Caenorhabditis elegans: one gene and its partners. The protein of the gene in region 1 interacts with the protein of each later gene in a biochemical or structural test. Each region holds a gene or a part of one and is shown in the gene's direction. Other genes may lie near its edges. The genes, in order: lin-5, par-1 and pkc-3.

Region 1 (8,564 bases):
AGATCTAAAATCGGATTTTATTGGAAATCGAGAAGAAATTAGAAAACTAACCTGCTTGAGATGATCGCATTCGGGAAAAATACTAGACATGTGTCGATCACTCATATTTTTTGCATAGCTAAAATGGTATATTATAAGGTAGAATTAAAGACATTTTCAGATATCAAACGACTCGGAGATAAACCGATAAAACATTAAAAAGAAAATTGAACTTTCAAAAAGATATATTCATTAGATGAATCAACATTTTGAAAAGAGATTCTTCAACAGAAAAGTTATGGAATGTTAGAAGAAAAAAGATGAATTCGATGAAACAGAGTTGATAGTAACGAAATAAATAAAGGAGTCGTTTAAATCGTATGGAAGGAGAATGAATGATAGAAACAGGGAGAGAGATAGATATGCTTTGAACTGTAGTATGAAATGAGACAAAAAATAAAAAATCGAAAGCTTAACGAAATTAACAAAACTCGAAATTCAAAATTCACAACGATCGAGGAGATACTTGGCGAGAGCCCAACCATCAAGTTCGAATGCCTCTGAAAATGAAAGATTCGAAACTTTGAGAATAACCTATTTTACCTCTTCCTTCGACGACTTTTCGTTCACCAGTGGCGGAGTTGGTCATCAGTATCAGCTTCGTTTTAGTGTTGTCGACATCAGTGTGACGAGCAATACCATCAACAGTCCAGGTTGTTTCTGAAATGTAATAAAGAACAATTTACGAGGATTTTAAAAAATAATTTACCATCTTTCACAATGACTGGGGGAGCAAGAGTTCTTTGACGGCCATTTGATGTTTCCGCATTTATAGACTTTCTCTGAAAATACATCATATATATACATATTATTTTTATGCACTCGAACCCACCTTAGACGTTGGGATAACTGAAGATGCGCTGGCAACTGGACTTTCGCTTGGGTCTTTCTTTATAACGACCTCTCTTGGCTTTGGTGGTGTAGATGGTCGCTTGACAGGTTCTTCTGCTTTTTCCTCAACTGCCTTCACTACTTTTACTTTGCTCGCTATTTTCTCAACATCACTGAGTGGCGCCGTAGTTTCTGCCTCGTCATCGGAAGATTCTTCATCAAGCCAATTTCTTCGGGTATCACGAACTTCCATTGCAGCTTTCTTCGCATTGTTTGGAGCTACTGGACCAGAAACCGTTGCTTCGTATGACTTGAGTGCAGCTTTCGTTGGGACTTTTGGAACTTTTGATGATACAGGAGTTTCGTTTTTAGCAGATCTGCAAAAATCGATTTAAAAAAATGGAATTCTCTCCATTAGCATCATTCCCGACAATTACGTGTGGATGTATTTACATTTTTGAAAAAAAAAACAACACCACTATTCAAACTATTGTCGTTTAATAAAGAATTTAGCTCACTTTTTACTTTTCTTCGATGTCTTCGGAGTACCGTAGCTACCGTCGCTGTCATGGTTAGACTCATGGTCACTAACCGTCTTCGATCGCTTTTTTGATTTTTGCGATTTGTTCTTTTTTATTTGCTTTTGAAGAAGTTCAATAAGCTCTGTTTTGTCAGTGACTTTCAATTTTTTGTAGTACTCTGCAACAACTTCGCTGGCACACTCTTGCAGATCTTCTTCGGGTTCCCAGGTATCCTCGTCGGCGCCATAACCCAACCAACGAACCTAAAATGTGGACAATTAAGTTAAGAAATAATTTCGTGACTTACTTGAAGCACTAGCAGATTATCTGTAACTTTATGAGCAAGAATCTTCTCAACTTCAAAAATCTCGTCAGACTTTCCCTCTCTTGCTTCGGGCTCTCGAGACTCTTCACGTGAACCTTCTGTAAAATCTATTCTAGGTTTTAATAAATAAATAAAAACATACCATTACTCATCTTCACAACTTTTAGAGATTATTAGTCGACAGTTAAAATCGATTGAAGATTAGAAAATAAGACGGAATTTTCAAAAGAAAACTCAGCGACAGCAGCAACGACGCTCCGAAGTTCTGCTGCGCGCCCTCTTTAGCGGAGTTGAGAAAAGAGACTCAGTTTCCCCGGATTGCGGAACTTGAATGGAAATAATTTGTTCTTGATAAATAATGAAAATGTGAAAGTTTTGCAGTTTTTTTTTCGAAATATTCAATTATTGTCTATAAAATACTTTTTAACTTGTTTTATTTCATAAGCATGATCACTGGTCAGCTAACGAATCTCACAGATTTGTTTCTACGGTAAAAAAGTCCTAGAATGAGCAATCTCTTCAATGATGAAGCCAAAATAAGAAAACATATTTTTGTTTCTATAGACTACATTTTTTAATTAATCCATCAATTTATTCTATTAAACATACTGAAAGTCATATTGTAATCAATTTTAGCTACACATGCGCGTTCCTGAAGGAGCCCCTGTTCCGTTTTGGTTGTCAGTCAAGAATCGTCTTCCCAAATGGGCCAAAGTTAATCGGCCAACACTCGGATCCATGGCAGTTGTAGCTACTGCACTTGTTACATGTTGTGCTGTAGCTGCTGTAACGCTTTATCCAAAATATCATCATGATTATTATAAAAACGCACAAAAAGAGGAACGGGCCTTACTTCGATCATCTCGAGAACAACAAGCTGGTCCTCAAAATGTCTGGATCGATCCATTCGAACGAAAATAACTTTTTTTCATTTGTTTCTTTCTACGTGTATTTTTCATAGTTTTTCAAAAAACATTATATAGGTCTTGATATGCTTGTGATCTCTTTCTTAAATATTGCGTTAAATACGCCTGACAATATCTATAACTGACTGATAATCTTGTGCGAAACTTACAAATTCAGAGTAATATTACTACTAGTAATGTCCAACGACAAATCCGCTGAAGTTGTTGTTCTTCCTCGTGAAAATGACGAAGAATCCAAAGAGCCTGTTTTGAAAAATCAATTCGATTTGAGCACATTCGATATCGATTCTCCGGTTTGTTTTTTTTTCCGCTTGGGTTTATTGGTGAAAGTAAACATGTTTCAGGAAATCGATCTAACTCACACTCGCGCTGATCACATTCCAGATCTTACTGGATTTCCGAAAATAGAGGTAAGAATACTTCAGAAATACGTGTGTAAATACAATGATTATATTCAGGAACTGAGAATGCGCAATAATCTTCTGGTTTCAATTAGCCCCACAATTTCTTCGTTAGTTACTTTGACATCCCTGGATTTGTACGAAAATCAGTTGACCGAAATTTCGCATCTCGAATCACTCGTAAATTTGGTTTCTCTTGATCTGAGCTATAACAGGTGAAGAATTTAAGAAACTTTTATTTCAATAATAACTTTCAGAATACGCCAAATCAACGGCTTGGATAAATTGACAAAGCTCGAGACTCTTTACCTTGTCAGCAATAAAATTGAAAAAATCGAAAATTTAGAAGCTTTGACGCAGCTCAAACTGCTCGAACTGGGAGATAATCGGTAAATATGGAATGTTTCAACATCAAAATCACAAATTGTGTTCAGAATCAAGAAAATCGAGAACATTGGTCACCTTGTAAATTTGGATGAATTATTTATCGGCAAAAATAAAATTCGTCAGTTGGAGGGAGTGGAGACCTTGCAGAAGCTCAGTGTTCTCAGCTTGCCGGGAAATCGTATTGTGAAAATTGAAAATGTTGAGCAACTGAATAATCTGAAGGAACTTTACCTCAGTGATCAGGGTCTACAAGATATTCATGGCGTCGAACCTCTGGTAAAAAGCAATTCAAAATACACTGAGAAATGGGTCTTTTTTGCAGACTAATTTACTTCTTTTGGATGTTGCAAATAACGAAATCAAAACGTTCAGTGGCGTTGAAAGACTAGAAAGTCTTAATGATTTCTGGGTAACCGAGACATTTTACGTTTCTTCTATATCTTTTATTATTGCAGGCAAACGACAACAAAGTGGAAAGCTTCTCCGAAATTGAGCAACTTTCAAAGTTAAAGGGTCTTCAAACTGTATACTTGGAGAGAAACCCGTTCTATTTCAATGATACAAACCAATATCGCAGAAAAGTTATGATGACCCTCACCCAAGTAACTCAAATTGATGCTACTACGTGCAGAAAGCCAATTGAATAACTCTCGGACGCTTCCAATAAATATCCGTTTGCTTTTCTTATCCATGATAATCTTTCATAAATATGTATCAGTTTGCTTCATTGTTTGATATTGAGAACAAAGTGTAAGGTTATTAAGAGGAATCGCAAATGAATCATAATCGACCTCCATATGGGCGAAGCCAATCGAAATGGCCAGATATTATCAGCTAATGAAAATTTAAAAAAAAAACGACTAATCAAGAGTTTGAAAAAGGTTTCATACTTTGAGAATAATGCAGTAGTTTTTAGACGGTGCGGTGAGATTTTAAGAAGAAATTATTTATTCTTCTCGCTAAATAAATATGAACCAAAACCAACTTTCCATGCCTGAAAACTTAAAGTGTGTCAATTACAGAGCTTTTCTTTTGAGAACAATCAAGAAGTTTCCTCGAAAAGTATTAAACATATATGAAATGAAAGCTACTGTAAGATTTTTTGTTGTGAAAATAAAGATTTTATTGGAAGGCGCACTTAACTTTGTCCCCTAAAAAAGGAATGTTCTTTCTTTGTTTTCATTAAATAATTTCAAACTCAGCAATGTGTATACGGTTTTTTTAAAAGGCGCATGCACATAATCTTTCACATGGTTTTATAAATAAAGAATGAAACCATTTTCGCGCGCGCGCGCATTTTTGGTTTTATTTTTCATGTTAGATTCCTCTAATGTTCATTTCAATCAGTGTGTCATCCCACTTTTTAACAGCTTCATTTTTATTTATTATTCGTCCTTTTAATATTTTTTTGGTAGACTTGTGCATGTTGACCTGCAGGTCCATGGAAAAATTGTCATTTGAATTCCCGCTGTTTTTAGAAGTGTCGTGAGAAAAGTGTACGAGCATGGTGTAAGAGACGCAGACATTCTGCGTGCGTCTTTTAAATATTCTTCGTTTATGTATGCGTTCTCTCTCGTTCTTTCGCTCAACCACTCGCATTTTCTTTGAATAATTACTCCTTCTGCAGAATGAGCGTGAGCACATCAGTTGTGAAGTCAATGCTACAATTGACGAACTATTTTGGCTCCAATTTCACACCGAAGACGGAGACAATCAGCTCATTAGCCGAGCTTTGGGAGAGGCACGGGAGTATGATCGCCAGTATGATGTAAGTAATAGCTCATTCATAAACAATTTCATATTTTATTTTTCAGGTCATGCGACACTCGGGAGTTTGGCACAGCTGACAAATTCTATGAAGTTATCTTCCGCAAAATCGCCACAACGAGTCTCAGCTTCATGACCGATTCATTGGAACCGAAGCTTGCAGCGAGCGGAGATTCACTGGAGATTTGCAAATTCTACGCTCTGTTTCTCGAGTATATGAGAAAGGATCACTCGGGAATGCTCACTCGCGCATTGGAGCAAGCGTCATCAGAGAATCGCGTCGACACAGCTGTGCTTCTTGATATGTTTTTGTTTTTCGACAACGTGTATTCGGAAAGTACCGCTGACGACTGGTGGGCATGTCTTCGGAGAGATGACGAAGATCAGGAAGCATCCAGTGGCTTCAGGACTCCGAAAAGGAACAACTACAGCTTGACATCATTGCAAACACCAACAGCTACTGCCCGGCGACTACGCACAGCTTCCTCAACTGCTCGGCGAAGCCCTATAGCGGAGGCTGTCGATTCCCCTACCATGAAGTTCATGCGAAGCGAGCGGGAGCTGAAGCAGTCTAAAGCGAGAATCTTTGGTTTGGAGCAAATGTTAGGAGACCTTGAAGATGACAAGACCAAGTTATCGGCTGAGAACAGAACTTTGAAGCTTTCGTAAGTAAAATGGTACATTGAATTTAAAATATGGAGAAAATATTTTAGGAATTCCGATCTGAAAAGCGACATCGCTAAACTGAAAGGTATCGCCGAGGAGGCACAATTTCGTGCTGAAGAATTGAGCTGTGATCTCGAAGCCAAAAAGGATGAAGTCCACAACATTCTCCAACAACTCAATGAATCTCGAATGACGTTGAGATCCGAGCAAAGAAGTCTGGAGGAAGCTGACATAAAGAAAGAGAATCTTACTGCTAAGCTGAAAACGGTGACCGAAGACAATGGGAAGCTCATGAAGCAGGCCAGAGAGCTTCGAGATCTCAACGACTATGAATTCGCTAGATTCCGTCAGCAGGAACAGGAGCTTACTGAGACTCTTCGGGCGACGCAGGACCAAATGGCTGACCTCCAGGAACAACTTACCGGAGTGGAAAAAATAAGAGCGTCTCTGAAATCTGAAAACGAGAGCCTTTCTGCCAGTGTTGAGGAGTTGAGTGTTGCTTCATTGAGAAACAAACAAGATGCTGACAACTCTAAAACTATGCTTTCCGAGGAACTGGCGCGTTTTGAAGAGACTGTGGACAAACTCCGACAAGAAAAGCTTGAAGCGTTGAGCATGGCCAACTCCAGAATCGATGCTCTTCGTTTGGAACACTCGGAAAGAGAGAAAATGATGAAATCCACGAATGCACGCCTTCAGGCTGACCTTGACGAAGAGAGGAACGAGAAAAAGCGCTTGATGAATCTCTGGAATGAACTGAATGAAAAGTCCCTGAATGTCGACAAAGCTGTACATAAAAGCAACGAAGAATTTCAGTCAATGGGTTCTTGTCTTCAAAATGCGAAAAGACAAATTGAGCAGTTGGAAGTTGCGTGCAAGAGTAAGGACGATATCATCAAATTTCAAGAGGAGCAGAACAAACGAGCTGCCAATCTGATAAAGAATGAAAAGGCAATACGCGATCAGGCCTCAGCTCAATTTGCCGAGAAGTTGGCAATTCTCAAGAATTCTCTAGCGGAAAAAGAGAACGAAACAGTCACCCTTAAAGAAAACTTCGCAAGTGTGGTAATGAAGCATAAAGCCGAATTGGAGGAGAAAGAGGTTTGCTTGTTGAATATCAAATTGAATACAACATTACTTACTTTTTAGCTGTTCCTTCAATCTAGAGTGGATCTGATTCAACGTCTCGAGCACGAAGTTGCAGATCTTCGAGAGAAGGAAAGCGCCGAGATTAAGAAATCCACCTGGATGGGTGAGAGAATCAGTGAGTTCATATTTAACGTTTCGAAATTGAATTTTCAATCTTGTTTTTCAGAAATCTTCCAACAAGCTCCAATGAGAGGTTCGAGAATCAGATGCGGTTCGCCAGACAGCTTGCCAGACTTCCTCGCCGATAATGGACCAACAATTACCGAAGAAGAATTGCGAGCACAGCTTGCCACGTTCCCAAGAAAATCGATTGCTCCTAGTGTGGACGACAACGAATTCGATAAAGGAACACCGATTGGATTCAAGTCGAATATGGTAATCAGTTTATTATTATGCAACCTCAATTTTGTGAGACGAGACAATTTCTTATATAGACGAGACAATTTCTTACCACAAATATTGTCCAGAACGTTCAATTTTCAGTACGATGGACGTGAGTCAATTTGCTCTTTGGATTTCTTCGACCGGTCTAGTCTTCAACGTTCGTCGATGCGATCGGAATCTATCCAATTGGCATCGCCATCATCAGCTGGAGAGTTCAAGCAACCATTCACACCATCCGGAGTAACCAAGGAAAGAGTTGGAGTGCTCACTGCCAGAAACGAGAAAGTGAAGCCACACCTAAAATGCTCGTACGCCTCTGAAGTTGGAAGTACGAATTCGCCATCCGCAGACGAGGAGAATATCAAGAAGTCCAAGAAAAAGAACCGTCGGGATTCGATTTTTTCTGCTTTTTCGAGCAAAAAGCAGTAAAATATACTTTCATACATTGTAATATAACTTTTTCACAACACACTTTTGTTTTATGTTTTGCTCCGTGTTGTATCCTATTTTATCTATTTTACAATTCCTTTCCTAACGATCGCTGAGAAATGAAGAAGTTTCTTATTTTTTATGTGTTCTTGTGAAAATGATTGTTTCATCGCAGTTCTATTGTAAGAATCAGGCCCTTTTCCTTCACAAATCATCGTGCCGACCAGGGGTGTGCGGCGAATATTAGCCGAATTCGCCGTTCGCCGATGATTTTTTCGATTCGCCGAGTTCGCCGTTAGCTGAAAATTTTGAAAATCGGCGTTCGCCGAATTCGCCGTTCGCCGAAAAATCGCCGAATTCACCGTACGAGAATCGGCGAACTCGCAGAGCGAAATTCGCCGTTCGCCGAAAATTTCAAAAATCGGCGAGCGCCGAATTCGCCGATCGCCGAAAAATTCGATTCGCCGCACACCCCTGGTGCCGACGCGTCCCCGTTTGAATTGCCGCCCAGCCGCCGTGGTCGCATTCTCCGCGCCGAGACCCATCGTCGATAAAGGCTGCTCCTTTAACCGCCGAACGCCTAGATATATAAGCTGAGGATCGCTCATTCTGGATCATTTCTTAACCTTTTATAAGTTACGTGTCTTATTGCTCCTTTCTCCCGTTTACTTGTTGCGACATTGCCATACGTCTGTCCCTTTATACTAATAAATGCTTGTAAGATAAACCTCGCGTAGCT
Region 2 (10,303 bases), on another chromosome or scaffold:
GAAGAAAAGTGAGACGCGAACTTCTTTTTTTCAACTCCATCTTCGTCGTCTCGGTGCACCTGGTGTGTTGTCCTATTCTATTCGGTTCTACCTCCTCCACCCCCAATCTATTCAATTTTTATTATTGACTTATCGGAAAGAGAGTCAGTAATAGGAGAGGTGGACACGCAGACGTTGTGAGAAAACGACAAGCGCCTCGACTGAGAGAATTGAAGAACTGACTCATTTTTGTACTGAACTGACTGACAGTGCAGACTGGTTGACACACCTGCTCAGAAGCTGCTGGATCACCTTACACATTCACGTGCGACACTATTTTATTCAATTATTGTTCGCGATTCAAGATTCAAGAACTGTTAAGATGACGAAGAAATCGTACGCATTTGCACTGGATCTCGATGATTTGTGCTGTGACGATCATCCATATTCATATTCACCACCTTCCACATCTTCACGGCATTCTGCATATTATCCATCTCAACAGCCTCGGACCTTTTTTCCGGAATATGAATTGACCAGGTTTCTATCTTGTTTCAAAATATTTTTTCCGGCTGCTTCTCTTCTTGAATATGACTCATCGCCCCCTCAATTTTTCGTTGGTCGTGCTGCAAGAAATTTTCCATGATTCATCATAGCAGCTTGTAGTATAGAAGAAGACCATCGTTGTTCTTGTTGAACATCAGATTTTACATTTTATGTCCGGCGCCTGAGTTCGCCTTACTTTTTTTGTGTTCTACGAGGTACGGGCAATATGATGAACGTAGCCACTAAATGGGGCAAAGTGGCCGAATATAATTAGTACGTTTCTAGATTCGGTTGACCTTTGATTTTATATCCAAAAAAGGCAGTTTAACGGTTTTCTTTTTGAAAAACAATTTTTTCTAACTGAGGGGCTGGAACTTCCTTTTCTATTGGAACAACGCGTCTCAAATGAAAAAAAAAAGTTTCCGAAGCGCTATTTTTCGAGTTTTTTTTTTTCATTAAATCGGCTGTAAAAGTCGTCATTTCTTCCCCTCTGTGCTGACGTCTTCACTCAAAATGAAGAATTGCAAGCACAACGAGATGACGTTGGATGGCCCCGCAAGCAGTCAGCATCGAATGAAAATTTAAACACAGAAATTCAACGAGCCCCGTCCATCAAAGCCACAAAAAAACGGGGGTCCGCGAAGGGAAATTAGAAAAAACGAAGAGGCATGGCGGGGGGGGGGGGGACACGATTTTATGTAGCACTTGGAGCAGCACTTTGTGGGGGCATTTATCGGTCGGCGGGGAGGGTTTTTTGGAGAAATTCCGATGTGATGGGAGCAATAGAAAGAGAAGGGGACACATATTCCCTCTTAGTTTTTTTCTCCTTTTGCTCACACTTTTTTCAAGAGGAATACAGACAGATAGAGAGAGACATGGATGCAATTTGTGTCTCTTCTCCAAAGTGTGGATGGATGGATGGATGGATGTGTATGGAGAAAGGCCGCCCATCTTCTTCTTCTTGCTCGCTTGCTCCTCTTCTACTGCCGGCGCTCTCCTCGTTTTTTCCAGTGTGTCCGTCCTCCACGCTTTGCTCCATTTCGGGGAGCCCCAGGGCTCTTACGCGTCCGTTTGACCTAATTCGATATGTTCAATGCGGCATACTCGTCGTTACTCGCTAGATTTATGTGCCAGCCAAGTAGTTCATCTGTGACGCCTATTCCGGAAGAGGAGGAATCTCTGATCCCGAAGCGAAAAGTGTCTGAAGTGGTCACTACAGCTCCGATGGCTCCCACACTAACTTCATCTGGGAAACGGCGAACGGTGAAAGTGTCACCTGATGGAGATCATGTCACACATAACCGAAAAAAGTTAATTTTAGTTCACATTTAAAATTAAAATAAAGCCCCAGTCCACCAGTTTTCAATAAAAATTTTTCCAGCTCTTCATCACATGCACGATCTACTGGACAATCGGGTATGTCAAGTCGATCGGCAGCACGACGCAACGATCAGGATGTACACGTTGGAAAGTATAAGCTATTGAAGACTATTGGAAAGGGAAATTTTGCAAAGGTGAGCACTTGATGATTGGAAATTTCGAAAAAAAATAGTTATCAAAAAATTAGAGCTTGAAACATACTGTAGCCGGTCTCGACACGACCGAGCGCCTTTAAGGATTACTGTAGTTACAAACTCCCGGTTTTTGGCAAATTTTCTGTTTTCCAAATTTTTTAAAAATTTTATTTATTAAAACCAGTCGATGACCGCGCCTCCGGCGCGGCCAACGACTGGCGGAGTTTAAAATGTATAATACATAGATGTCCTTTTAATCATTCAAAAATGTATCATTAAAAAAGTTGAAACTTCATCGATTAAATCGCATTTTCTTCTTCCATGGTATTCGATTCAGAAAATTCAAAGAGACAGTTAGAATGTTCTGATTTTTCTACACTCAAAATTATAAAACTGCGTTGCGTGTACGCCAAAATAGTCCCCGCCTTTTTCTCGTTCACTCACGGGGAAAAGGCAAAAAGCGGTACCCCAGGTAATATCAGCCGCCGACATCATTCGAGGTCCGCGCACCACACTATTTTTCTCACTGTTGGCGTGGCGAGCTGTCCCCCTCCCCCGAAAAAATTCCACAGAGTTACAGTTTTTCAATAAGTTAATAACTTTCCTTAACTGGAGAAGTCTGAATAATTAACTACTAATAGTAAGTTCTTTGAATATAGATGTGACGAAACAAATAAAAACTCCTACAGTTATAGGAGGTTGTAGAGCATTTCAGAACTTTTTTGAATTTTCCAGATGATTCTAGAACATTCTAGAATTTTCTTGAAACTTCCAGAAGGTGCTGAAACAAAAAATTGATTCCAGAACCAAAATTTGAATTTCCCGCCAAATGTTTTCCTCAGAAAATTTGAATTTCCCGTCAAAATCTTTTTCTCAGAAAATTTGAATTTCCCGCCAAAATTTTTCTTGGAAATTTGAATTCCCGCCAAAATTTCTTTTCTCATAAATTTTGAAGCTCCCGCCCATATTTTTAAAGGTCCCACCACGATGGGTCTCGCCAGTTCCAGGTGGTACTTAAGCTAACAAAAAGTTTCTCAGAAAATTTGAATTTCCCGCCAAAAATTTTTTCACTGAAAATTTGAATTTCCCGCTAAAATTTTTTTCACTGAAAATTTGAATTTCCCGCCAAAAATTTTTTCACTGAAAATTTGAATTTCCCGCCAAAAATTTTTTCACTGAAAATTTGAATTTCCCGCCAAAAATTTTTTCACTGAAAATTTGAATTTCCCGCCAAAAATTTTTTTCACTGAAAATTTGAATTTCCCGCCAAAATTTTTTTTACTGAAAATTTGAATTTCCTGCCAAAATTTTTTTCACTGATTGAATTTCCCGCCAAAATTTTTTTTACTGAAAATTTGAATTTCCTGCTAAAATTTTTTTCACTGAAAATTTGAATTTCCCGCCAAAATTTTTTCACTGAAAATTTGAATTTCCCGCCAAAATTTTTTTCACTGAAAATTTGAATTTCCCGCCAAAATTTTTTTCACTGATTGAATTTCCCGCCAAAATTTTTTTAACTGAAAATTTGAATTTCCTGCTAAAATTTTTTTCACTGAAAATTTGAATTTCCCGCCAAAATTTTTTTTACTGAAAATTTGAATTTCCCGCCAAAATTTTTTTCACTTAAAATTTGAATTTCCCGCCAAAATTTTTTTCACTTAAAATTTGAATTTCACGCCAACATTTTGGGTCTCACCACGAAGGGTCTCACCACGATGGGTCTCACCACGAAGGGTCTCACCACGAAGGGTCTCACCACGTAGGGTCTCAACACGATGGGTCTCACCACGAAGGGTGCCACGCCCACTATTCTCACTGAAATTTGGGCGTGACGTCACAGACTCCAAAGACTACATAGACTACAAACTCCGGACAGACGAACTGTATTTTTTTATATATAGTTAATGATATTTCCTTTTTGAGAAGTAATTTAACTTTTTTATATATTTTTTTTGAGAAACGAGAGAAAATTTCAGAAAAAAAAATCTCGGTTTCATTTTTTTACGCTTAAAATTTATTTTTCGAAAACCCAAAATCATATAAAAGTCATGAAAGAAATATAAACTTCGAAAAAATGATAGACATATTGTGAAAATTTGCAAAACATTGCACAAAAAACAGGGAATCACAACTACAGTACCCTTTAAAGGAGTACACTCTTTTGTTCAGAACATTTTAAGTCGTGTCCGGACCTTGGAGACCGTGCACCGTAACTTTTTATTAAAAATCTTTTTTTTTCCCAGTCGGAAATACGAAACAGCCTGACAAAAATAAATCTTAGATATATGACCATTTAATTAATTATTTTTGCAGGTAAAACTCGCAAAGCACGTGATAACCGGACATGAAGTCGCTATAAAAATTATCGACAAGACTGCTCTGAACCCATCGAGTCTTCAAAAATTGTTCCGAGAAGTGAAAATTATGAAACAATTGGATCATCCGAATATTGTGAAATTATATCAAGTGATGGAAACTGAACAGACACTGTATTTAGTACTCGAATATGCATCCGGTGGTGAAGTATTTGATTATTTGGTTGCACACGGAAGAATGAAAGAGAAAGAAGCAAGAGCCAAATTTCGACAAATTGTCTCTGCTGTTCAATATTTGCATTCGAAAAATATAATTCATCGAGATTTGAAAGCTGAAAATTTGCTTCTCGATCAAGATATGAATATTAAAATTGCTGATTTTGGATTTTCGAATACCTTCTCACTTGGAAACAAACTCGACACATTTTGTGGATCTCCACCGTACGCTGCTCCAGAATTATTTTCCGGTAAAAAGTACGATGGTCCTGAAGTAGATGTTTGGAGTCTTGGTGTAATTCTCTATACTCTTGTATCCGGAAGTCTACCATTTGATGGACAAAATTTGAAAGAGCTTCGAGAACGTGTGCTCCGTGGAAAATACCGTATCCCGTTCTATATGTCAACGGATTGTGAGAATTTGTTGAAGAAATTCCTTGTTATCAATCCACAAAGGAGATCATCATTGGATAATATTATGAAAGATCGATGGATGAATGTGGGATATGAAGATGATGAGCTTAAGCCATTTATTGAGCCACCAAAAGATCAAATTGATGAACAGAGAATTGAGAAATTGATTCAGGTGAGTTTTTATGACGAAAATCATTGTAAAACATTGGAAAAAATTAAAAATTGTATTTTAAGGCAAAAATCTGATTTTTCTCACGATATTCATTGTTTGGAAGAGGAAATTGAAAAAAAATAATAATTAAAAACGTTTAAAAACTGTTTTATGATTATTTTTTTCAAAAAGTTTTGCAATTTTTTAAAATTTTAAATTGAAGCTGGAATTTGGAAAAAAGTTCAATTTTTCACCTAATTAAATTCAATTTTCAAAGTAATTCTCTTAGGCGAATTGTAATGAAAAAATGAATATTGAAAAAAAATATAATTTGCAAGTGCGCTCCAACGTACCAGGGCTTCACAAAATCAGAGAAATTCAAACTGATAGCTTTTAGACGAAAAATGTTTTTTTTTCAATATTTAACTTTGAAAAATGAAAAATGGATTTGAATTTTTAAGATTTGGTACCGAAAAGGTGGTTTAAGCTTTTTTTTTTCCACTATCCATCTATAATACACAAAATGGCAATTTTGCTTTAAACAACTTAAAAATACGAAATTTCATTGTAGAAATCTTTTTTTTTTGAATCTAAAAGTCAAAGTAATTATCTTTTTTAAATTAATTTTTGAACAAAATTGCTTTCCTTTTAAAAATAAATTCCATGAAATTTCCCTCCAAATTTATAAAATGTTTACAGATCTTCCAACTCGGATTCAACAAAGCCGCCATTTTGGAAAGCGTCGAGAAGGAAAAGTTTGAAGATATTCATGCAACGTATTTGCTTTTAGGAGAACGAAAATCTGATGTAAGTTGTATTCCTTACAAAATAAAATCAATTTTTAATTCGAGATTCCATTGATCTTATTACACAATTTTTATGCCTTTGAGTATTAATAACCCAATCGCGAATTTCTAAACCGCATGGTATTCATTTTGAAAAAAAATGTTTAAATATCCCATTTACAATATCCCTGGTTGAAATTTATTTAATTCCGCTTTTTATCCTTCCCCCGTTCCACTAAATCTAACAAATTTTCATCGCTGCTCTTTTTCTCTATTTATGTATCGGCTTTTGATATAGTCTTTAGATAACTTTTAAAAAAATTGTCTGGAATTAGATATTACCCATACGCGAAATTGTGCGATTTTGCTCCAAAAATACGGCATCCGGTCTGTAAATTACGAAAATGTTCGCACCTTTAAAGAGTACTGTAACTTCCAATTTTCTTGTTTTTTAATTTTTTTTATAGGAAAAAAACTTTACTTTTCAAAAAATCGATTCAACAAATCCGCAGCAACATGAATTTGAAGATACAGTACTCATTAAAGGCTCGAACCTTTTCGTATTTAACACAAATTTTTCGTGTCGAGACCACGGAAAAATCTCAAAAGTTCGCGTCTGTGTGATATTTCTAGCTTGAAAAAACATTATTCGAAAAAAAAACGCAATTTCTCTCTCTCTCCTACTATTTTTTGAATCTGTGTGTTTTGTCTCTGCAGATGGATGCCAGTGAAATCACAATGGCCCAATCACTGCTCAGCCATTCGTCAATCAATGTTTCGTCGTCTCTGGGTCAGCACCCGGCCGGTGTTATCACTAGGGAGCATGTGACGTCATCATCAGCGTCTGGAAGCTCTGCTTCAGTGAGTGATCATCATCATCCCTATGTGAGATATCATTATGTTGTGTCTCTATGTGTGTGTGTATGGATCCACCTACTACAGTAACCTATATTCACGCACAAATTTTAGAAATGCATGAATGTCTATGTCTGTGTGTCGTATTTTCTGCAAACTGTAGTATGTCGAGGAACAAGAATGCTTGCAAGTTTATATATTTGAAAACATTTCAAAAGTTTTCTGATTTTCGTCTTCCTGGCTCAGGAATTATATTCTCTAAAATTTCCAAGCATTCCTGCTCTCCTATAGTACATTCAACCTCCTATAATTTATAGTCCAAAACTTTTGTTTCATCTCATTTTCCTAATTTTCAGCCATCCCGATACTCTCGATCCTCAGCAACAGCCACAGGTGCATCAATCACTGCAGGATCAGCGCTCGCATCGGCTGCGAATGCTCAGAAACATCAGCAATCATCGGCAGCTCCATCGTCAGGATCTTCGTCGTCGAGGAGAAGCTCGCAAAACGATGCGGCAGCGACGGCGGCTGGTGGTACTGTAGTGATGAGTGGAACAAGGCATGGTGGAGTTCAGATGAGAGCTCAGCCGACGAGTCGGCAAGCGACAATCAGTTTATTGCAACCGCCGAGTTATAAGCCTTGTGAGTTTTTTGTGGAGAATTGGGTGAAAATGATTTCTAAATTGGTCACAAAAAGAAAAAGGACACGAATTAAATTCCCATATTTTCAGCCTCCAACACCACGCAAATTGCTCAAATTCCGCCACTATTCAATAGAAACTCAACGGCAACCTCATCAGCTGCTCAACCTTCAACAGGAATCACCGGTACTCGAAAGATTGCTGATCCAAAAGGACGAATTCCGCTCAATTCGACTGCTGTACAAGGACATCGAACTGCAACAGGTGCAGTTGCAGCCAATAATGGTGGTATTCCAAGTCATCGGGATCATGCTCAGCAGCAGCAGTATATGAATCAACTCACCTCGTCGACAATGATGTCAAAGCTCATCAATAAGACTCCAGCGGCTGGTGGTACTGCAGCCACGTCATCTTCTTCCTCATCGTCTGCCACGTCGACAGCGCCACTTCAGAAATCTGGATCACAAATCTCGCACGCACCGACTGAACCAGTCATTCGAGAAGACGACGACGAGAATAACAGTGAGAATCAGAATGGAAATGTTCCATTGATCGGAGGTGTCGGACCACAAACCTCTCCAGCTGTTCAAGTACCAACAGAAGATGCAACTTCATCATCAGACAAGGAACAACAGCAGCAGAAAGCATCCAGTGAGACACCCAAAGAGTCCAAGTGAGTTTTTAAACTTGTTTTGGAGCACCTTGTCACCCCCTTTTTATCATGAAAAGAAATTTTTCACGCTATAAAAATACGCTTTTGCACCTTCTGTAAATAAATATGGCTTTAAAAAAGGGTCAGATAAATATAATTAATTTTTTTCCAAAAATTTCCAAAAGTAGCATGAAACTGTTCAAAAGTCTCAAGCACACAAAATTTTCACTTGCACCCGCCTCCCAATAGAAAAATATTACGGAAACGCAGAAAAATGCCCGTGAAAACGCGCTTCACTGTCAGGAGCTGGGTCTCGTTTGGTATTTGGCTTCAAAACCGTAATTTCAAATGTTTTCAATTTGAATTTACGGTTTTGCCGCCAAATACTTAACGAGACGCAACTGTTTGCAGGCGGAGCCTTTCCACGTGGACTTCAAAAAAGGATTTTTCTGGCGTTTCCATAATACACTTTTTGAAAACGATTACAAAAAATCACTCCCCATTCCTTCTAACATTTCCAAAATTCTAACCCAAAAAAGTTCACCCTGAACAAACAAACAAACATATCGGTAATCTATCCCTTACGAAGCATCAGCCTTCTCATTTCACTTATTCCTACAACAACGAATATTCTTGTCTCGCGCAAATTGTTGACCAAAATAATTTTAAAAAAAAACGACCAGATAACCTCAAAATTTTCCATTTTTCTCTTTATTCTACCTCTGTCATATCACCAATTTTCTTTCTTTTTAGACCTAATCCTTAGTTTTTTCTTCTTTTTTTCGTCATATTTCACTAACATTTTGCGCGTTTCACAGCATTTTCTATCCAATATTTCATTTATTTTCATATATAAATTATATATTTATCCTTCAATTTGGTTGTGTGTTATGGTTCGATGTTCTTCGTTTGGTATAGTTTTCTGATATAATTCCAACAGAAAAAAACACGCATGCTTCTTCTCTATTGTTCCCCCCGTTTTTAGTTTTTTCATGTTTCATGTCCCCTCCTGTTTGATTTTCTGTTTTTTATCCGCATGTGTGTGTGTTGTTGTTCGTTTGTGTGTTCTCTAGAGTGTGCTCCTTTCGTTTCCAGCCCGATCGTCTGGCAGAATTTGCATCTCAACAGTCTTCTGAAATCTTTGTTGGATTCTTCGGCAGCTACATCATATGAAACTCCACGGAGGCCAGGAATAGCTGGAAGACGTTCGGAACCATCAGCAGCAACGCCTCGGCGACGTCATCAGACAATGGTGGTTGATGCGCGACATCTTCAGACACCTCCAGACACTGATAGACCGTATCATTTTGAAGATACGACGCTTGATCGTCAGATGAGAGCACTCTACGTCTCAACTGCTTCGTCAAGAATGACACGTGGTGTACTTCCAACTCCACCCACCTCGAATTCCACGTCATCGAGCTTTATTGTGGAACCGTTGACACATGTTGCTGCTGCATCACCAGATATTACTACAACAACACCGACGAAGTCAACTGTGACGACGTCGCCATATTTTAGGCGAACACCGTCATTTCGAATGGTGCTGAGTTTTTTTCTTTCTTTTCATTGCTCGAATCCTCTTCTTTATCTCTTTCTCTCTTTCTTATTCACTATTTATTCCTTTTAGTCGTATTGTTGTTGTGTGATAATGGTTTGAGGTTATGGTTGGTCGTTTTTTAAAATGGTAGCAATTTGCCGAGCATCAACGAGACTAATAAGGTTTTTTTCTTGAAAAAACTGCGAAATTTTTGAGAAATGAAGAATGAAAATCTAAAAGGTATCACCGAAGTATTTCCAATATTTTAGGATAGTTTTCGGCAGAATCAGAAAAAATGGAATATGAAAAAAGAAAATTAAATGTTTTTTTTTTTGAAACCAAATTTTGAAAAAAGTAAATAAAGAGTGTAAGAAAAACGCTGGAAATTTTTAGAAATAAATTGGCAACAGTTTTTATCTTTATTTATCAAAAATTTACCAAAAAAATAACATTTCAATGTTTTTTAAATCTGAAAATTCATTCATCAGATTATGTTGATTTTAATGAAAATAAAAGTTATTTAAAATATTAAACATTTTCCGAAAAGTCGAATGAGAAAAAATTGCAGAAAAATTAAATTATTAATCAGAAATATGCCGATACAATTTTCGATGCAATTTTTTGGAGACACATAAAATTGCCCATTATAATTTTTTTTTTCAATTCTTAATCCTTTTCGTAGTTATAAGAATATT
Region 3 (11,876 bases), 2.5 Mb from region 1:
TTAAAAGTTTATATAACATTATGTTTATATTACCATGCTCATATTTTAAAAAAATTGAATACAAGAATTAAAATATTGAATTTGGTAGTATGGTCCGGGTAACCATTCTCCATCCAGATCTAGGCATCGGTGGAGCCGAACGATTGATTGTTGATGCTGCTGTTGGATTACAGGATCGAGGACACTCTGTTCGGATTTTCACGAATCAATATAGTAGATCGCATTGTTTCCAAGAAACTCTAGATTTGGGTGAGTCGTATTGCCTTAATGCAAAATTTCGCGTTTTTTTGTGCCAAAAATACGGTAACTGGTCTTGACACGACAAAGTTGTGTTAAAAGTTATTTGTTTAAATATTTAAAACTCAAAAATTTCAATAAAAACATTCATTTTTCAAAATTCGCAAAAAAAAAATTGAAAAAATTTCCAAATTCGTGTTTTGTTGATATATTTAGATATCACATAAATAAATATATTTTTATCGAAAAACTATAAAAATTGATGAAAATTCCGCGACAACAAAAGTTTGAAATTACAGTACTCATTAAAATTGCATGCAATTTTTCATTCAAAAAAAAGAAGTCACATACCGTATTTTTGTCGCAAAAATCTAAAAAATTTCGCGTCTCCGTAATAATACCAATCGTCAAGCTGATTTCATTTTTCAGATATTTGTACTGTGGTTCCATGGATACCCCGTTCAATTTTTGGAAAAGGTCATGCTCTTTGTGCATATCTTAAAATGATCATTGCTGCTCTCTACATTGTAATCTACCACAAAGATACTGACGTCATACTTTCGGATTCTGTATCTGCTAGTCAATTTGTTCTTCGTCATTTCTCAAAGGCAAAACTCGTATTCTATTGTCATTTCCCGGATCGACTTTTAACGAAACGTGATGGAAATCTGAAAGCTTTCTATAGAAATATTATTGATTGGATTGAAGAGTACACAACTGGACTTGCAGATGTCATTTGTGTCAATAGTAATTTTACAAAAAATGTGGTTCGTGAAACATTCAAGTCACTGGCATCTCAGGAGCTGACCGTACTCTATCCTTCGTTGAACACCGAGTTTTTCGATTCGATTGAAGCTTCGGATGATTTTGGTGAAGAAATTCCACGTGGTACCAAATATGTTTTCACCTCACTGAACCGATTTGAACGAAAGAAGAATATCGTTTTGGCTCTAGACGCATTCGGTAACTTTAGATTTTATATTTTTAAAAACCTGTGTAATAAATTATTTTGCAGAGAAATTGAAATCGAATCTTCCTGCCGACGAATTTTCGCAATGTCATCTTGTTATTGCTGGCGGATATGATTTGAAAAACCCAGAAAACATCGAACACTATGATGAACTTGTTGAACATATGAAGAAACTGGAGCTCCCAGCTGATCAGGTAATAAATACGAATTTAGCAAAGTATAAATTACTTTTAAATTTCAGATCGTATTTCTCCACTCACCATCTGACACTCAAAAAGTAAATCTCATTCGGAGAAGTCGTGCGGTACTTTACACGCCTGATAGAGAACATTTCGGAATTGTTCCAGTTGAAGCAATGTACTTGGGAACCCCAGTAATTGCTGTTAACACTGGAGGTCCCTGTGAATCGGTTCGGAATAATGAGACGGGATTTTTGGTTGATCAAACGGCCGAAGCGTTTGCTGAGAAAATGATTGATTTGATGAAAGATGAGGAAATGTATCGAAGAATGAGTGAGGAAGGTCCGAAATGGGTGCAAAAAGTGTTTGCATTTGAAGCATTTGCAAGAAAGCTCGACGAGATTATTCAATCTACGCTTTAATTAATGTTTTTTCTTGAAATTTGGGTTTTAAGCGTTTCGTTTTAGAATCGCCAGTGTATTTTTTGTGATAGTCCTATGTGCTTTAAATTATTTATTTTGAAAGGTTCAATAAATTATATTTTATGACCGAACACATTATATTCTCAGTTGTTATCTTATATATCCACACCGGAATGTTGAATATCTGACCATATATATTTAGAATGTTGCGGTAATTTTTTTGTTGCTGTGGAATTTTATTTTATTTTTATTTTTCATAGTTTCAACATTTTACAATTTATTGAAATTTATGGGTTTTAATTGTTATATTTGGCGTTTTTCGTTTACTTTTTCGATAAAAATAAATTCAGTTAAAAACTAAGTTATAACAATGAAAACACATAAATTTGAACAAATCGTAGAAAAATCACTACAAATTTGACAGATTTTATGGGTTCTATCGCGATTTATTGAAATTAACGTCTTTTAATTGTTTTATTTTAGTTTTTTAGATAAATACTGTTTTCAAACGAAAAACTTTGAAAAATCGATAAATCTCGCAGTACTCCTGAAAGGCACACACTCGTTTGTACTTAAGAAAAATTGTCGCGACGAGACCAACTGTCCAACTACGGTAGTTTTCAAAATACGCGGTTCACCGCAAAGTCAAATTGCGGACCTGAACATTTTTTTATTTTTCCCGCAAACTTTTTTTTTCAATTTTGCCTAAAGCGCTCGAATAAACATGAAAGTCTCGTGTTTCCTTCCATCCAGACCTCTCATTTTTCAATTTTAAAACTAAAAGCACTTTTTGACCTACTTTTTGTCGCAACCGCCAAAACTCGCTTCCAGAATTATTCCCTTTTTAGGATTTTCGACGCAACATCTCCAACCGGTTAGTTTTTTCGCAGATTTTCTCGCATTCGCGTAGTTTCACTTGTTTACTTCGTGGCGCCTCGTTTTTTTCCGCTCTCTCGTCTGACCACCTTCATATTTATTGATCTGCGCCTAGCGGCGCCCGTTGAAATACTCCACATTTTTTTGCAATCTTGTCTGCGAGTTCAGGTTATTTTCGACTTTTATGAAAGCTTGCTAGGAAGCCATAGCAACCGGGGAAGAATACGCTAGCCAAATGAGAGATAGAATCGATCAGCTAAATTTAAGATAAATAGTGAATTCGAATTCTAAGACCTGCTCGACCAGCTGAAATTCTAAAACTCTGCGCCAAGATGTATAGACAGGTAATAATATTTGAATTTTCTTTAAAAGTGACCTTGAACCCTAAGATTTTCGCTCCTCCTAAACGTTGTAGTCTGTTACTCCCTGCCGCGACAATTGTCAGCAAAAATCGCGTCACATGATGATGAAAGTTTGTGGCAATGTTATAAAAAGACTGACCTTATTTCGTTTCTTGGAAGATGCAAAGAAATGTTTATTAAAAATTGCAGTGTGAAATCATGTCTCTCGCTCCAAAGGTGCATTTCTTATTTGTTTTTTAAAAATATATTTGGTTACTTAGATATTAATTTAAATCACGGAAAAGTTTAAACCCCTCGATTTCTGTTATTTAACATGATCACTCACTTTTATAACAATTAATTTGGTTTTTCAAAGATGTTCCCAGAATGTTTTATTAGTTCTCATTTCGTCCTCCGATTTTTTTTCTTTCGTCGCTCTCCAATTTTGCCAATGTATTTCATTCCCATTAGATAAGCACCGCCCGTCACCTTATTCTCCTTCTTTTCACATTGCAAACAAATTCGTTGCCGTTGGGTTTCAATATCCTTTTCATTTTTTGTCGTATTGTTGTTCTTGTGATTGTGGTTGTTATTTTATCGCGGTATTATTTTTTTTTGTTAAACTAATTAATTTTTAGATGTCGAAAGCATTCATCGGAAAGCCAGCTCCACAATTCAAGACTCAAGCCGTCGTTGATGGCGAGTTCGTTGATGTTTCGCTCTCTGACTACAAGGGAAAATACGTTGTGCTCTTCTTCTACCCACTTGACTTCACTTTCGTGTGCCCAACCGAGATTATCGCCTTCTCTGACCGTGCTGAGGAGTTCAAGGCTATCAACACCGTTGTGCTCGCCGCTTCCACCGACTCTGTCTTCTCTCACTTGGCATGGATCAACCAGCCACGCAAGCACGGAGGACTCGGAGAGATGAACATTCCAGTTCTCGCTGACACCAACCACCAAATCTCCCGTGATTACGGAGTTCTCAAGGAGGACGAAGGAATTGCTTTCCGTGGTGAGTTATATTCTGAATGGAATCCTTCATATTTTCGTACTTTATTTGAAAAATAAAATTTCAGGACTCTTCATCATCGACCCATCACAAAACCTCCGTCAAATCACCATCAATGATCTTCCAGTCGGACGCTCTGTTGATGAGACTCTTCGTCTTGTTCAGGCCTTCCAGTTCGTCGAGAAGCACGGAGAGGTTTGCCCAGCTGGATGGACTCCAGGATCCGACACCATCAAGCCAGGAGTCAAAGAAAGCCAAGAGTACTTCAAGAAGCACTAAATGTCTTACATCTCTAATTTCCCCCGTATCCCTAGTATTTATCTGAACGGTTTATTTATACTCATTTTTCATTTTGATACTGAAATTCTGAAATTCATGAAATTGCTTGATAACCGTAAAATAAACTCGGTATTCGAATATAACTGTTTCTGTTCAGGAACAAACAATATGTGTCGAGACTCTCTCTCTGTTACTTTTTTGTCACTTTCCTAGACCGCCCGTGTTAGTCGGTGCGCGCGCATCGTCGTCCTGTACAGTGTTTGTGAGGGTCACCTGTGATTATTCATTTCTCTATGCCTCTTCAAAGCTGGGCCGCTCTCACTGACCTGTACACTTGGACAAAATGGGGGTGTTCGATAGAGCGTCAATGCATATATAGCTATAACAGTGTGTGTGTGTGTATGTGCATGTTTATTCATGAGTCATTTTTCCCTTTTTTACTCTAATACTGCCAACTCGTCACTGTTTCAGTTTCGCAGTTTTCGTTCAGAACTCCTTTTTTTGAACCGTTTTTAGTTCAATTTTTATTTCAGAATGTCGTCTCCGACATCATTAGAGGAGGACGGAGATATTAAGCTAAAAACGAGGTTTCAAGGACAGGTGAGATATGAAAAGTGGCTTTTGAAATGCTCAAAAATCGAGAAATACCCTAAAAATGAATTTTTCGTTGCAGTGAGAATGTGTAAATCATTTCGCCGTCAATGCGAAATTTTAGTTTGTCAAAGCTTTAAAAATTCGTAACAGAGAGAAAATTCCAGACAAAAAATAGAAAAAGACCGTGATAACCGAATAAAACTGTAAAAAATTAATTTTTCTGAACTTTTAATGATTTGATTAATAGTGTTTAAAACTTAAAAAGCTCTTTTCCGGCTAAAATTAAAAAAAAACAACCACTGATTTTTTAAAAATTCTGCAAAATTGAAAAATAATTTTTGTTACTGTATAACTTTTTTTTTTTAATCTGAAAAATTCCAGACTCCCAAATTTTAATAAAAATTAAATTCCAGGTAGTAGTACTCTATGCTCGACCACCGCTCATTCTCGATGACTTTTTTGCACTTTTGAAAGATGCTTGTAAACAACACAAAAAACAAGATATTACTGTAAAATGGATTGATGAAGATGGAGATCCAATCTCAATAGACTCACAAATGGAACTTGATGAAGCAGTTCGATGTTTGAATTCTAGTCAAGAAGCCGAGTTGAACATTCACGTTTTTGTTGGAAAACCAGAGCTGCCCGGGCTTCCGTGTCAAGGAGAAGACAGTAAGTATCATGAAGCTATCAGAAAAATTATTTAGAATTTCGAAAAAATGTGCGCCTTCAAAGAATACTGTAAAGCGGAATTTCTATCAATTTTTATAAAAAGATTGAAATGAAACAATTAGAAACACATAAATTTTGGAATTTTGGAAAATAGATCAAACTTCCGCAGTTTGAAACTACAGTAATCTTTAAAGGCACACAATTTCTCGCGTTTAACAAGAAATTTGTCGGAGGAAAAATCGGAAATTTTCGAGTCTGAGAAATGTTTTTTTTCCAGAAACTGTATATCGAAGAGGTGCTCGACGATGGAAGAAAATTTATCTGTACAATGGGCATCGATTCCAAGCGAAACGGCTGAATCGGTAGGTTTTTTTTTCTGATTTACAGCCTCCGGAGCTTCTTTCTTTTCAGCCGTATTCAATGCTTTATTTGTCATGACTACATATGGGGAATTGGACGGCAAGGCTTTCGATGTGTGGATTGTCGTTTATGCGTGCACAAAAAATGCCATCGGCATGTGCGAACGCATTGTGGTCAGGTAATTCTTTTTTTTTGTAGCGAGGATAGCTTCTAAATTATTCCAAAATTTTGAAACTAAGACCTCCCAGACTTCTGTTTTTCAATTTTTACAAATTTCTGTGCAAAACAGGTTTAAAGCTTAAATTTTTAAATTCCTCATAAAAATCTAAATCATTTTCAGGCTCTCCAAGGCCCGAATATTATCCCAATGGCTCCTGCAAGTGGTTCTCTAAAGGGTGCTCGATCGAATACAAGCTCATCTACAACGCGGTCGGGTGGAGGAATTGATAACGGAGCATTCCACGAGCACGAAATCGAATCACCCGGATCCACGAGTCATGATGCTAGCAGAGCTATGGTAAGCTTTTGAAGTTGGAGCCAAAATTTGAAATAAAATATATTTGAAATTTGATATAAATATCTTTGTCTTCACGTCTCCGAGGGATCGTAATAAATTTAATTTAATATTCAGAAAAGTTAATTTTTTTTGAAATTTATTAGTTTATTTCCAAAAAAACATAACTTTTATTTAAATAAAACCATCTGAAAAGTCTCAGATTTACAATAGCTGAAAATGAAATAACTCTTGTTAAAAAAAACAATTTAAATTGGAAAGTCTTTGAAATAGTGGTAGTTAATTGAAATATTTAATTAAGTTTAATCCAAAGTTCAATTAAATATTAGGTTCTTCCTGTTGCAATTTCAATTTCAAATTTCTAGATACGTGATATATGTAACTCTTGAAAAACATTCTAGATTTCTAGACTCAACTACATTTTTTTGTTTTTTTTTGGATGAACAAGTTTTTGTAGTTTCACTCTTTCTCTTGCTCTCAAAATTTTTATTCATTTCCAACCACAATTCCCTTCCTCGCTGCGAATTCTGATTTCTTCCTGATATCAAAATATTTTAATATTTCAACGTATGGCACTTTTCTGTCAGTGCTTCCCAGTATCAGATAAAAAGAAACGGCGAAAAGTATTTTTAAAGTTACATAGATTCAAATACTAAAATTTTTTAATATTTCAGAATGGAAATGGGTCGTCAAAATGGGCAGTTTCTCTGAACGATTTCCGTCTTTTAACAGTTATTGGACGTGGATCTTATGCAAAAGTTGTGCAAGCAGAACATGTTTCAACTCGTCAAATTTACGCGATAAAAATTATCAAAAAGGAGATGTTCAATGAAGATGAAGATATCGATTGGGTACAGACGGAGAAGTCAGTATTCGAAGCAGCGTCAAATTATCCATTCCTTGTTGGATTACATTCTTGCTTCCAGGTTGGTAACTTTCTTTTTCTTCGATTTTTTCAAATCTCAAATTTTCGCATTAAAAATTTTAAACCAAAATTTTGATAATTTCAGACCGAATCCCGCCTGTTCTTTGTCATCGAATTCGTTCCTGGAGGTGATCTGATGTTCCACATGCAACAGCAACGGAAGCTTCCAGAAGAGCACGCTCGATTCTATTCGGGTGAAATAATTCTTGCTCTTCATTTCCTTCATTCTCGCGGAATCATTTATCGTGATCTCAAATTGGACAATGTTCTGATTGACGCTGAAGGACACATAAAACTGACAGATTATGGAATGTGTAAAGAGAATATTAAGGATGGAGATTTAACTTCAACTTTCTGTGGAACACCCAATTATATTGCACCAGAAATATTGAGAGGTGATGAATATGGATTCAGTGTTGATTGGTGGGCATTGGGAGTGTTAATGTAAGCCTTTTTTGGTTGAACATTTATTTTATTTAAATCGTTTTAGGTTTGAAATGATGGCTGGTCGATCTCCATTCGATATTGTTGGAATGCAGAATTCCGAGGAAAATACAGAAGATTATCTTTTCCAAATCATTCTTGAACGACAGATTCGAATCCCTAGATCACTTTCTGTACGGGCTTCTGGTATTCTAAAGGGATTCCTGAACAAGGATCCAACAGAACGTCTGGGATGTAAGCTTGACATTAATGAAGGTCTTCGTGATATGAAAGAACATCAATTCTTCCGTGGATTCATTGATTGGGAAGCTTTGGAACAGAAGGCTGTCGCACCTCCATATCATCCAGCTGTGGAAAGTGATCGCGATTTGACACACTTTGATCATCAGGTAATTTTAATTTCTTCAGAACTTAACTTTAAAAAAAAATTAGTTTTTGTTTACTAATAAATTATTGAATCAAAATATTTTAAAACTAATTCAAAATGCTTGTTTTTTTTTTCAGTTCACCGACGAACTTCCACAATTATCACCTGACAATCCAGATGTTATTGCACGAATTGATCAATCAGAATTTGATGGATTTGAATACGTGAATCCTCTACAAATGAGTCGGGAAGATTCAGTCTGATTCCCCCACCATCCCCCGAGTCCCAAATATTTATTTTCTTCGGTATACTTTTTTGTGATTTTTATTATTATTCTCGAATCCCATCTCCTTCGCCCACTGTCTTATACGATACTATGACACACTAACTCGTGGCATAATCAGTATCCTAACTTATTTTCTTTTTCTCAACATCTGTTATACATTTTCTCGCAACAATCACTTCTACTCGTCTTGTGGTATCTTACAATCCCGAAAAGGTTGTGATTTTTTTTGGTTTCTGTTAAAATCTAGACTATTCATACTTGCTAGGAATACCTAATGCTTGATGACCTCCCCTTCTAAATACACCTTCTTGTTACTTTTCTTGTCAGCTCATTCATTTCCCTGAAATATATGTAAAATTGCGGCGAAGACTACGATCAATGTAGTCTCTTCGCCATCTGACACTTCTTTTGTGCCACGTGTGGAACTCGATTTAACTTCAATTCAATTTACATGTTCTTCCATTTGACCACTTCCCTTACTTATTTATTGACAAACAAAAAAAAATTGCATTTCAATGGTCTTTATCAGTTCTAATGTGGGCGCCAATTCATTTCATCATCACAGTCTGAATCACCTTCCTCGCTTGCTTTTTCAAAGTTTTCTGGGCGCGGGCGGGTAGAAAAGTCTTAAAGGGACGTTCGAGCACAATCTCTCGTAGTCCACAGTCGGCTTCATAGAAGTTGAGAAGTGCTCTGCAAAATGCCTCGCCGAGAGCTTCATCTGAAAATTGAACCAAGTTACAGTAGGAAATCACTGAAAAAAAACCTACATTTATATTGAAGATATGGCGTACAATGTTGTATTCCATTTCCAGAAGAGTCTGTATGGCGATAAGAGAAGAATGATACTTCAAGTGTATAGCAAAGGCAGGAAAGTAGATCTCCCATCGTTCTGAAAAGTTATGAAGGGTCCTGACACGACTGGCATTTTTCTGCTACAGTAACCCAGCGTGTTTTTCTCAACTCCGTGTTTCCCAATGTATTCATTTTGAAAATATGCATATATTTTCTAGAAACATCATTATAAAACCACACAAAATATTGAGAAAATGTTGCAAAATAGAGATTGAAAGTAAAAGGTACTGTTGCTGGAAATGTTCACTCACGCCAGGACCCACAGTCGTGTTTTTGCACGCAGATACTACGGATGACCATGTGAGAAATTACTAGCTATTGCAAAATTCATATCGTGGCAAGACCCATCAAATTAAAATCACGACTATTCGAAATCCATAATAAATTATTCGTTCCCTTCCATATAAAAAATCTCACCTTCTGCCAGTACCAGCCTTCTCCACATCCGTGTTGAATTGAGTGAACTCGAGCGAATAATCTTCGGAAAGATCTGCCAGCAAATGCGGAAGCCATAACTGCCGGAAAGTCGATTTTTCTTCGACCGAAAATTAGAAAAAAATGTTTCAGAAAATTTAAATTTTGTGGTCATTGCAAAGTTGAGCGAAACTATGAAAAGATTAGGGTTTAAAATTGTGAAATGCTGTAGATAACTGCTAAGTTTCGGTAGTATCAAGACCGGGTACTTTGTTTAAAATCGCTAAGTTCTTCAATCGGCTAATATCGGGTCTCGCCACGGACAAAATATTTTCAATAGTTGCTGTACCCCTTCAAGAAATACAGTAACTCATAACTGATTCTTGAAGTTGCCCGAACCAATTCACAAAAAAATTCACAACTTACAGCTGACATATTCACATTTCCATACAAAAAACAATTTGGCTTCTGAGAATGGGCATGTAGATCAACGTAGATTACAGTTTGGGCTTGCTGAAATATTCAAGAACAGATCCTAAAACTTCTACAAATTATTGATTCATTTATTCCTAAAATTGACACATAACAGTGAGCATGGCAACTTTCCCACAATGTTTCAATTTAACCATAGTCTACAGTAATCTAGGATTTTGATCGCTTCGAGATACAGTCAACTTGAATGTATCATGGGAATTGCAAAAAAAAATTGATGAAAATGCTCAAAAGTCCTACAAAACACTGAATATGTATATCGATAAATTCCCAATATCGATAAATTTAACAGCTCTCACCGGATTATTATCATATTGCGTCAGTAAATTCTTCACAGCATAAATTGAAGGATGAGCCCAATCTGAAGGGGTTCTCCACATTCTATTCAAGTCATGACCCATTAGAGAACATCTGAAATGACCTTCTGATAAGGTAGGCACTGTAGGTAGGTACGCCTTTATGCCTGGGCCGAGAGGTTGTTGGTGACGAGGAATGCCTACCTAGGCTGTTTGCAAAAAGTTACCTATAATTTCCGAGAAAAACGCCATCTGGATTAAGCATTGGAATAATTTTGAAACAATAAACTTTTCTCAACTTCTGTGCTCGATCATCTTTGGAAACAAGAAATTCAATAATTCCATGCATAACATGACTACTCGGTGACTCTCCAGGATGAACTCGCGCAGTTAGAAAAATCATTTTCTTGGATCCTTGGAATGTGTCAGGTGTTGCATCAATTGTTATCAAGTCGACACGACGTTTTTGCTGAATTATTTTCCAAAAAGTTTCAGACTATTCCATGAATATTTCCAATTTACCACAGTTTGAACCAAAAGATCTCTATGAAAAAATGGGTATTTTCTGGATTCCAACTCATTCAACCATATCTGCATTTGTCCATAAGTATACGGTATACAGTATGCAAATTGAACAGGATCTGGTGATTCAAATATGAAAGCAAATGAAAGAATCCAACGATCATTGTGTTGGGAACTACGGTAGTAGTAGATATGGCGAGATGGGATTCGAGCCCTAAAATGTTGAAATGGCTCTTTAAAATAGAAAATCGAGGGGTTTTCATCATACCAACTATTTTGAGCATTTGATTTGACTACAGGTGCTGCAATTCCCATTTCGAATAGTGTTCTTTGTTTTGAAAAGTTCACAATATTGAAGATCGCCCGCTGAAGAATTTGCAAATTTGATAATAAAATTTTAAAGTTTAAACTGCATAATTACACTAATTTTCAAATAGTACCCAGTCAAAAAGGTGTGCGCCTTCAATCAATACAGTAACCGCCGGTAACTTTCAAAACGAGGAATGGGTTACTGTATTCTTAAAGGCACACACCTTTTAGCGCGGAAAATAGAGTACTGTAGCTAGGAAAAAAGTTGTCTCAAAATGTTCTCCCCGAAAATAAAGAACATATTTAGGTATACTGGAAAATTCGTAAATATTTCAGAACCATGGCCATTGCAGAAAAAAACTGAAAACCTACAGTAACCCGTAGGGTATTGAATTTTTTTAAAAATCGCTGCGAGACCCGACGTTTCCGCCTCAGATCCAGTTTTCGAATATCAATAATAAATACAAATTCTTCAAACATTTACCTGATTTTCAGATGCATTTTTGCATTC

What was found.
Region 2: of the proteins of lin-5 (region 1) and par-1, one has a biochemical effect on the other in vitro, tested with the Caenorhabditis elegans proteins (one study listed by BioGRID).
Region 3: of the proteins of lin-5 (region 1) and pkc-3, one has a biochemical effect on the other in vitro, tested with the Caenorhabditis elegans proteins (one study listed by BioGRID).

The regions. Positions count from the first base shown.
Region 1 is NC_003280.10:7,855,602-7,864,165, forward strand, and holds lin-5 (Spindle apparatus protein lin-5), read left to right. Parts: upstream 1-5,057; 5' UTR 5,058-5,058; coding exon 5,059-5,198; intron 5,199-5,244; coding exon 5,245-5,862; intron 5,863-5,910; coding exon 5,911-6,964; intron 6,965-7,012; coding exon 7,013-7,127; intron 7,128-7,178; coding exon 7,179-7,387; intron 7,388-7,495; coding exon 7,496-7,825; 3' UTR 7,826-7,962; downstream 7,963-8,564. Other genes in the region: mdmh-35 (MitochonDrial interMembrane space protein Homolog), read right to left, coding at 1-4, 52-105; Chromo domain-containing protein cec-3, read right to left, coding at 478-539, 583-699, 749-821, 872-1,247, 1,389-1,654, 1,699-1,814, 1,859-1,868; T09A5.15 (Small integral membrane protein 26), read left to right, coding at 2,359-2,637; sds-22 (Protein phosphatase 1 regulatory subunit SDS22 homolog), read left to right, coding at 2,819-2,935, 2,987-3,052, 3,101-3,258, 3,301-3,432, 3,478-3,706, 3,753-3,839, 3,886-4,077. UniProt on the Caenorhabditis elegans protein: Essential component of the spindle apparatus required for spindle positioning and chromosome movement. Acts to recruit or anchor gpr-1/gpr-2 complex to the spindle and cortex.
Region 2 is NC_003283.11:14,117,847-14,128,149, reverse strand, and holds the start of par-1 (Serine/threonine-protein kinase par-1), read left to right. Parts: upstream 1-1,611; coding exon 1,612-1,835; exon of another isoform or gene 1,836-1,894; intron 1,895-1,906; coding exon 1,907-2,039; intron 2,040-4,352; coding exon 4,353-5,156; intron 5,157-5,834; coding exon 5,835-5,942; intron 5,943-6,637; coding exon 6,638-6,781; coding exon of another isoform or gene 6,782-6,805; intron 6,806-7,131; coding exon 7,132-7,417; intron 7,418-7,506; coding exon 7,507-8,089; intron 8,090-9,163; coding exon of another isoform or gene 9,164-9,611; intron 9,612-10,303. UniProt on the Caenorhabditis elegans protein: Required for cytoplasmic partitioning and asymmetric cell division in early embryogenesis. Phosphorylates and restricts the asymmetry effector mex-5 (and possibly also mex-6) to the anterior cytoplasm of the zygote.
Region 3 is NC_003280.10:5,375,179-5,387,054, forward strand, and holds pkc-3 (Protein kinase C-like 3), read left to right. Parts: upstream 1-4,848; 5' UTR 4,849-4,849; coding exon 4,850-4,915; intron 4,916-5,322; coding exon 5,323-5,581; intron 5,582-5,858; coding exon 5,859-5,943; intron 5,944-5,992; coding exon 5,993-6,119; intron 6,120-6,281; coding exon 6,282-6,458; intron 6,459-7,129; coding exon 7,130-7,381; intron 7,382-7,465; coding exon 7,466-7,824; intron 7,825-7,870; coding exon 7,871-8,213; intron 8,214-8,328; coding exon 8,329-8,454; 3' UTR 8,455-8,991; downstream 8,992-11,876. Other genes in the region: algn-2 (Alpha-1,3/1,6-mannosyltransferase ALG2), read left to right, coding at 90-249, 667-1,200, 1,253-1,401, 1,449-1,808; Peroxiredoxin prdx-2, read left to right, coding at 3,245-3,262, 3,664-4,039, 4,104-4,315; ccpp-6 (Cytosolic carboxypeptidase 6), read right to left, coding at 9,026-9,198, 9,248-9,369, 9,750-9,874, 10,173-10,259, 10,538-10,649, 10,762-11,003, 11,057-11,270, 11,325-11,422 and 1 more.